Linked DNA regions of Sus scrofa. The protein of the gene in region 2 purifies or fractionates together with the protein of the main gene of each other region. This does not show direct contact. Links are inferred from orthologs where the notes say so. Each region holds a gene or a part of one and is shown on either strand. Other genes may lie near its edges.

The links.
Region 1: the proteins of CSK (region 2) and TNS3 purify together in Homo sapiens (affinity purification with mass spectrometry; 4 studies listed by BioGRID and IntAct, with this or other methods). This does not show direct contact. The link is inferred for Sus scrofa from reciprocal best matches to the Homo sapiens genes CSK and TNS3.

What each region holds. Positions count from the first base shown.
Region 1 is NC_010460.4:49,164,350-49,168,152, reverse strand, and holds part of TNS3 (tensin-3), read right to left. Parts: intron 2,817-3,803; coding exon 2,179-2,816; intron 1,290-2,178; coding exon 1,203-1,289; intron 1-1,202. UniProt on the Homo sapiens protein: May act as a protein phosphatase and/or a lipid phosphatase. Involved in the dissociation of the integrin-tensin-actin complex. EGF activates TNS4 and down-regulates TNS3 which results in capping the tail of ITGB1.
Region 2 is NC_010449.5:58,737,783-58,741,585, forward strand, and holds part of CSK (c-src tyrosine kinase), read right to left. Parts: intron 3,786-3,803; 5' UTR 3,721-3,785; coding exon 3,706-3,720; intron 3,355-3,705; coding exon 3,241-3,354; intron 3,131-3,240; coding exon 3,018-3,130; intron 2,636-3,017; coding exon 2,416-2,635; intron 1,634-2,415; coding exon 1,540-1,633; intron 1,329-1,539; coding exon 1,263-1,328; intron 1,182-1,262; coding exon 1,082-1,181; intron 984-1,081; coding exon 893-983; intron 447-892; coding exon 373-446; intron 267-372; coding exon 71-266; coding exon of another isoform or gene 1-70. UniProt on the Homo sapiens protein: Non-receptor tyrosine-protein kinase that plays an important role in the regulation of cell growth, differentiation, migration and immune response.

The DNA.
Region 1 (3,803 bases), on a different chromosome or scaffold from region 2:
ATTCTGGCGACCAGAGCAGGGAGGGGACGAGAACGGAGCGTTTGGCCACAACAGGGCCCTGAAACGTGGTGAGCGGCCCAGGCACAAAGGACAATTCAGGGCCTCAGAAGCACCCCCAGCCTCTGACTCCCCCACCCCCACTTCGAAATGACAGTGGGTCCATTGAGCTCAGTGGAAGAAAGGCACATTCTTGCCATTCTTCCAATCTGCTTAATTGAGTAGAAGGCTGTCGGTGGACGTTGCACCGTGCTGGTTCCCAGCCACTTCACTGTTTGCGTGCAGGCGTTTTGGAGACACAATACTTCCCAGGAGAGTGGCTGTGATGTTCCCCCCCGAGCTGAGACTGCGGCACAGAGCGGCCGCGTGGGCTGCACGCCGACTCGTCTTGCCCCTTGAGGCCACACCACCCGCTTCTCAGCGCTGCACCCACCGCCAGAGCCCCTGGGGCACCTCCTTTCTGAGCACCCTGGCCAGCGTTTGCCAGCCTCCCCGCCAGTCCCACGCCAGCCTCTGGGAGGGATAAGCCTGAGGGCGGCCCTGCTGTGGCCTCGAGGGAGGGCAGGGGCTCCCGTGAGCAGGGCCAGCACATTCTCACAGACCCCATGCATTCTGCTGGAGTGAGTGCTGGCTGCCCCCAGAGGGACCACCCCTCCAGCGGCTGGCCGGCCTCCCTCTGGGCCGCCTATCCCCTTTGCATTCTGGTAAAAAGTGACATATGACCTAGCTGCTCAAAAACGTTAATGATTTCTCATTTTTGCTGATCTGGACGTGAGACACTGGGCTAAGCCCACCAACAACAGGTCCAATCCTTGGGTGCTTGTCTTCCCGATGTGGACACAGGCTGGGGCATCAATGCGTTAGAGAAACGCCTCTCCCTCCCCCATCCCCCCATCCCTGCCACTGGGGGCCCGTGACGCCGTCTTGTTATAACCTACAGGCAACACTGGCCAGACCTCGGCTGGTGGAAGCCGCCAGAAGGTACACCCCACCCAATGGAACAACCATGACCCACTCCATTGTCAGAACCGAGCCTTTACAGTAAAAACTTATAGCCTCCCCACCCCCTCCCACCCCCACCCCAGGGCAGGTCATGAAGCGCAGGCATCGCAGGAACCCCTCGGGTCTGGGTGGGGGGGGGCGGCCCCAACATGCCCACCCTGTTCCCGCCTCCGGGTGGCCCAGCCCTCGTCCCACCGGCACACCTTGCTCTCTGGAGATATCCGCCTTGTACCAGAACTTGGATGTGTCTTGGACGAAGTTCACGGACACGTGCTTGTCACCTGAATGATCTACAAAACAGAATTTAAAACCAGGAACCATGAAGGGCGTTTCTTACTGCAACCTGTCACCTCGAGGGGCCTAGAAGTGCAAAGGCCCCCTGCTTAAAGGGAGAAGCACTCTCGGTAACCACGGGGCACAGGGCGTGGCTGCTTTACAACGCAAAACACGAAGACAGCAGGACACTCCAACAACCCGTAGCCGGAGACGGCGGGCACGCGAGCAGAGCTGATGTGGTTTTACTCCTGTCACTGTCTCTTATTCCCTCTGCACTGGAAACATCGCATAATTGAATTCCAAATGTATTCTTTTTTCTTTTTTTTTTTTTTTTAGGGCCACACCTGCGGCATATGGAGGTTCCCGGGCTAGGGGTCCAATTGGAGGTATAGCCACCAGCCTACACCACAGCCACAGCAACGCCGGATCTGAGCTGTGTCTGCGACCTACCCCACAGCTCACGGCAGTGCCCGATGCTTAACCTACTGAGCAAGGCCAGAGATCGAACCTGGGTCCTCATGGATGCTAGTGAGATTCATTTCCGCTGAGCCACGATGGGAACACCTCGAATATATTCTTTCAATTTGTTTAAGGTGACTTTCAGACAACACTGATCCCAAGTGAAAGGGGAAAACCACCACTCAGATGTCTGCGTTTTCTGCTGCAGACTGTACACAGGAGCCCAGGGTGAATTAAGCAGCGGCTCTGGATTGGTACTTTGCTCTGGGCTAGAAGAGCAGAGATGCTCTGAGATGGAAAGGACCCCTTGAAAGCTCCGGATTCTTCTTTCAAGGTGCTCAGCCCAGCACTGGCGCTTGAGCTCACGGGGCAGCCGGGCCGGAAGGCCAGGGCCCTCCCTCCCGGGTGCAGGAGGAGAGCCTCCCGCGGCGGAGACGCACCTACCTGGGGACGGTGCTGCTGCCTCTGCAGCCTTGGAAAAGTCCGGGAGGACGTTGGGGAAAGGGATGCTCATGGTGCTCCCGCTGTGAGGGCTGGAGAAGCCGCTGGAGGACGGGGAGACGGAGCCGAAGGAACGGTCTCCCTCCGAGGCCCGCTTCTTCTCGGGAAGGGGCGGCTGCCCGGGCAGGGTCATCCCCGGGCCCTGCAGGACCGGGCTGTGGTGGCCGCTGTGTCCAGGCGCCACCGTGAGAAAGTTGTGGGACAGGAAGCCATTGTCGGTGGCCTCAGCTGCTGTCCGCGGGGGGCCGGGGGCGGGGGACGCCCCGTGGGAATTGGCCAGCAAGGCCCCAGAATCCTCCCTGGGGGCGAGGCCACCTCCCGAGGGGGCCGTGCTGAAGCTCAGGAAGGCCTGGCTGCTCGGGGGGCCCAGGGCTTCGGGCGGCTCCACCAGGGACAGCTCGTGGCCGTGGAAGGACGTCTGGAGCTCGGCAGGTGGGAAGGGGGGCCGCCCGGGGCCGTCCTTGCCAGGCCCGGAGAACTCGCTGGCGCCGAGGAGGCTCCCTGCAGGCCGGCTGCCCCCCAGCAGGGCCAGCGTGGACTTGGGGCTGCTCTCCACCCACTGGTGCTCGGCCGAGGAAGGGCTGTTCAAAAGACAAACCACCAGAGAAGAAGTCCAGGGGGCTGCCTGGGAATGAGCCAGGTTCCCACAGGGCGAAGAAGGGGACCCGGAGGCTGGTGCTGGGGCTCCCCTGGAGCGTGGCCTGTACCCCCAAGATCAGAATCCAAGCCCTGCCACCCTCCCACTTGACTTTTCACCCCCAGACGCTCAGGCACAGCCTCGGGGACCAGCCCGACCCACCTGCACAGCCTGCTGTGCCTCTGCCCTCCTCGCACTTCACCTGGCCAAGTGGCCTCTTCTCCCCAGGATGAGGCTCGGCTGCGTCCCTCTGAAGCCCTCCCAGCCCAGAGCCACGTGTGCCCAGGGACCAGCGGTGTCCCGCCCTCTCGTGCCTCCACGTGCACATCAACCATACGTCTACTGAAACTGCCTCCCCTTCTTCCTCTTCCCTCGATGCCCAACTCAGTGCCTGACAGTTTTCAGCAAGGGCTTGCTGGTACAACCCGCTGATTGCGGATGCCAGTGAGAAGCTATGAAATTGGAAATTCCACCATTAAGAATATTGGAAATTACGTCATATTTAGAAATATAGGAAGCCAGCTAACACATATATTCCACGAGCAAACACGTATCTGCCTGTGGGTGATGCCGAGCCCTGATGAGAGATGTCCCGCTTTTTTTGTAAAGAGAAAGGAGGGGGAATTAAGGCTGGCAACTGTAAAGCAATGTGCCCACACGTGAAACACTCAGTGATGACTCCTCCCCTGAGCATCTGCAATGGTCCCCTGGCAGTCCTCTGCGAAGGAGAATCAGACATCTCTCTCTGTCCCGGGCCCCCTCCTTCCTGTTTCCCCAATCCCATCGAGGGGGCTTCCTGCACCCCCTGTACTTTCCCGAACACCTGCACAAATTCCATGTCCTGCAGTCCTGCCCACCCTCACCAGCCCCCTAATCTGCAGCCCCAGGCAGGTCCCCTCCTGGCCTGGCCGCTGCACCCCGCTTTCCAGCC
Region 2 (3,803 bases):
GGGAATTGGGGGTGGGAGGGACCCAGGAACCCCACCCCCCACTGCTCAGGCCCTGGGGGAGGCCACCCACCTTCTCTCTCAGGGCCTCGGGGGCTGTCCACTTGACCGGCAGCTTGCCCGTGTCCTGGGTGCTCGAGGCCTCCTTGGTGAGGCCAAAGTCGCTGACCTTGGCCACGTTGTCCTCAGATACCAGCACGTTGCGGGCAGCCAGGTCCCGGTGCACGAAGTTGTTGCCTTCCAGGTATTCCATAGCCTCGCAGACATCTCTAGGAGAGAGCCAGCCACAGGTCCCCTCAGACAGGGGTTCCAGAGCAGGGCTGCTCCCCCACCCCCGCCCCGCCCCGCCCCGCCCCCAGGGGCTGCTTCACTCACAGCGAGAACTTGAGGAGGCAGTCTCCGCCTAGCACCGACCGACCCCGGGATCGCAGATAGTCCACCAGGCTCCCCTGGGGTGGACAGACAGACCAACAGGCCCTATAAGTCAAACCTGCCCGCCAGACCTTGGGAACAGTAGGCCTGGGGCTGGGTAACCGGTGACACTCAGTGGGCAGTGTGAAGAGGAGGTGGACAGGGGAAGGGTCAGGACATCACTTCTGAAGGAATAGCAGACGCTGTGCTCAGCAATTTTCATGCATTATTTCTTAATTCTCATAAATCTCTGAGGTAAACTTTGCTAGTGCCTCTGTTCACAGGTGAGGACCTGAGGCTTGGTCTAAGGTCATAGTGAAAAAATGATGAGCCAAGTTGAGCCTGGGTGACTTCAAAGCTCGGCTGGAGAGAAGGAGCAGGGGCCCAAGGGTGTGTGTGTGGGGGGAGGGGCTTGGGGCAGCTGGAAAGCTCGAGCCCGTGTTCAGCTCCAGGATGGGGGCTGGGTCCCAGGGAAGGCACCCACCTTGGCCATGTACTCTGTGACGATGTAGAGCCCGCCTTTCTCCTCTACGATCACGCCCAGAAGCTGTACCAGGTTGCTATGCCGAAGTTGCCTGGGGCAACATGGGGTGGTCAGAGCCTGCCGAGCCTCCCCATCACCTCCTGGCCCCCGGGGCGACCTCCCTACCCCTTCACCCCCAGTCCAACTCACGTCATAACTGAGGCTTCAGCCAGGAAGGCCTGGGCAGTGGCGTCATTCTTAATGCACTTGACGGCGACTTTGTTCCCTCGGTAGTCGCCAAGCATCACGTCTGGAGAAGAGAGTTAAGGGTTGGCCCTGGATTCCGCACAGTCCCTGGCACCTCTCAGGGCTCCCACCCTTTCTGGCTCACCTCCAAATTCCCCCTTCCCAATGGTCTGCAGCAGCTTCAGGTCCTTCATGTTCAGTGCCCAGCCACCTGGGGGGAGGGGGTGGTCAGTTGAGGGGTGGTGAAGCCAGAGAAGGGGTCACAGCAGAGGCAGACTGGACATAAAGTGGAGGACGGGTCGGGGTGGGGTGAGGGGTTCCCTGGAGGCCTCCAGAGCCTCTGGGATGGAAGTAGTGCCAGGAAGCCTGGGTGGGAGGCGGGTGGGTGGGCCAGTGAGGTCTCGGGGAGGGGTGGCACTCACTGCGAAAGAACTCATCCTGGGCCGCCACGGTGCCCTCCATGAGTTTTGGCTTGATGAGGCGGGTACAGAGTCCATCTGCATCTGAGGTGTAGTGCTGCAGAGGGCAGGGCAGGCGCTCAGGGTCCCCTGTGCAACTCCAATGGCTGCCATGCCCTGTCCTGGTCTGACCACCAGGGGGAAGCAGAGGCCAGTTCCACCCAGCCCTGCAGTTGCTTTGGGTTTGGAGGGCTTTGCGTTTCCAGCAGGGGTGAGGGAGGCCCCAGACACCTGGCCCATGTCACCACACACCGAGGTGCTGAATGGATACTGGGGTTGTTGCTACCACTCTGGGGCCTCACCAGTATCCTGAGGCAGAGGACAAGCCCTGGCTCACTCTAGATATCAGGCTCTAGTGGGCCCAGGTGCCCCCTGTCGCAGGTCAAGCCAGGCCAGCAGAGAAAAGGCGAAGGCGCCCAGTGAGTGCAGGAGGCATGTGAAGGCTGCCTGGGGCACAGATGGCCTTGGAAGATTCAGGGACATGTGGCCCTTCAAGGTGAAGGTCATGAGTATGTGCTTACACACACACACTTGGCATATAGTCTATGAGGAACTGGATGGAAGCTCATTCTGGGGTCAGAAAACTCAGATTCTAGTCCCAGCACCTCTAGTTTACAACCATGTGACCAGAGGTGGGTTCTTTAACTGCTCTGAACCTTTGTTTCCTGACCTATGAACCAGGGTGCCACCTCCCTGTGGTGGGGTCAGAGATCAACCCTGGAACACAGCAGGTGCTCTATCAGGGTGTTGCTCACAGAGGCTGCATGACGTGCCCCAGGCCACCAGTCAGAAGCAGTGGGACTGGAGCTGGAACCTGGGCCAGCCCTTGTGTCTGCTCACCTCCACCAGCTGCATGAGGTTCTCAAAGTACACCTCCTCGTCGATGCTGAGCTTGCTGGCGTGGTACATGATGCGGTAGTGCTCCACCTTGCCGTCGCAGCTCACGCACAGCGTGTAGTCCCCGGGGTAGTTGGTGCTCTCCCGCACCAGGAACAGGCCTGTCTCTGGTGGGCACAGGAGCCGCTCTGCCTGCTCCCTTGTGATCTTGCCATGGAACCAGCTATGGGAAGGCCAGGCCTGGGGTCGTGGTGGCCCGCGGGCACTGTCCCCGGTGCCCCCACCAGCCTCCTCATGCATCTGCCAGGCTCCACTTCCTGGAGGCCCTCTCCCTCCGGGTTCTTCACACGCTTCTGCAGGTGTCAGGCCCTGGGGCCCTCACCCTCTGTCTCTGACTTTCTTTCTTCAGTCCTCCTGGCTCCATCCTCCCCTTCCAGGTCCAGCACCCACGCCCTTCCCCTCGTTGCCGGAAGCCCTCACGGAATCCCAGCCCCTTGCTCTCACCTCCCTGTTCTCCTGACTCTCTTCTGGGGAAACCAGGGCTCCTGGTCCTCTTTCCTCCCCAGCCTGGGGGCCCCCAACCATCGCTCCTCGGAGGTACTCACGGCATGAGGCTGAGTTTGGTGCCTGCCTTCACGCCCTCCCGCTTTTGGACGTAGTTGGCTGGGATGATGCCCTCACGGCCCACCTTGTTCTTGGCTTTGTACCAGTTGGGGTCCTGGGTGGGGAGGAGCCCAGACACGCTCTCAGGCTCACCCACCCTTCCCTGCAGGGCAGCTGGGACCCAGAGGTGGGCGTGGAGTTTGGGGAGCTGAGGTCACTGATTACCTTGGTGACGGCCACAATGGTGAGCACGTCTCCTTTGCAGAAAGGAAGGTCCTGCTCAGCAGTGCCGTGAAAGTTGTACTTGGCAATGCATTCTGTACCGGATGGCCAGGCGGCCTGCAAGGCAGGTGACAGGTGGGCAGTGCAGCCCAGGGCAACCCCGGCCCACCTGCCCGCACACCCTCGAGATCACAGCCTCTTGGCTGGCCTGCAGGAGCCTGGGTGAGGTGCCCTTCCCCCGGAGAGCTCCGGGCATCTTCCAGCTGAGATCTCTCCACTGCCCCAGACCTGTGCTCACATCTTTAGGACCCTGCACGACCAGTGTGCCCTGGAAATCTATTGTGTTGAAAGCCAGGACTGGGGAAAAGGGGAGGGAACTGACCTGAACCCTCACTCTCTCTCCTCTCAGCACCCCCCCGTGGTGGTGGTGGGGACACGCAACTGCCTAGCCCCCCATCCCTGCAGTACCTGTATTGCCGACATCTTCTCAGAAGATCTGGCGTCCCCGTGTCACAGGAAGGCCGACCTATCACTTGGTACCATGAGAGCTGTGGGGAAAGGGGACG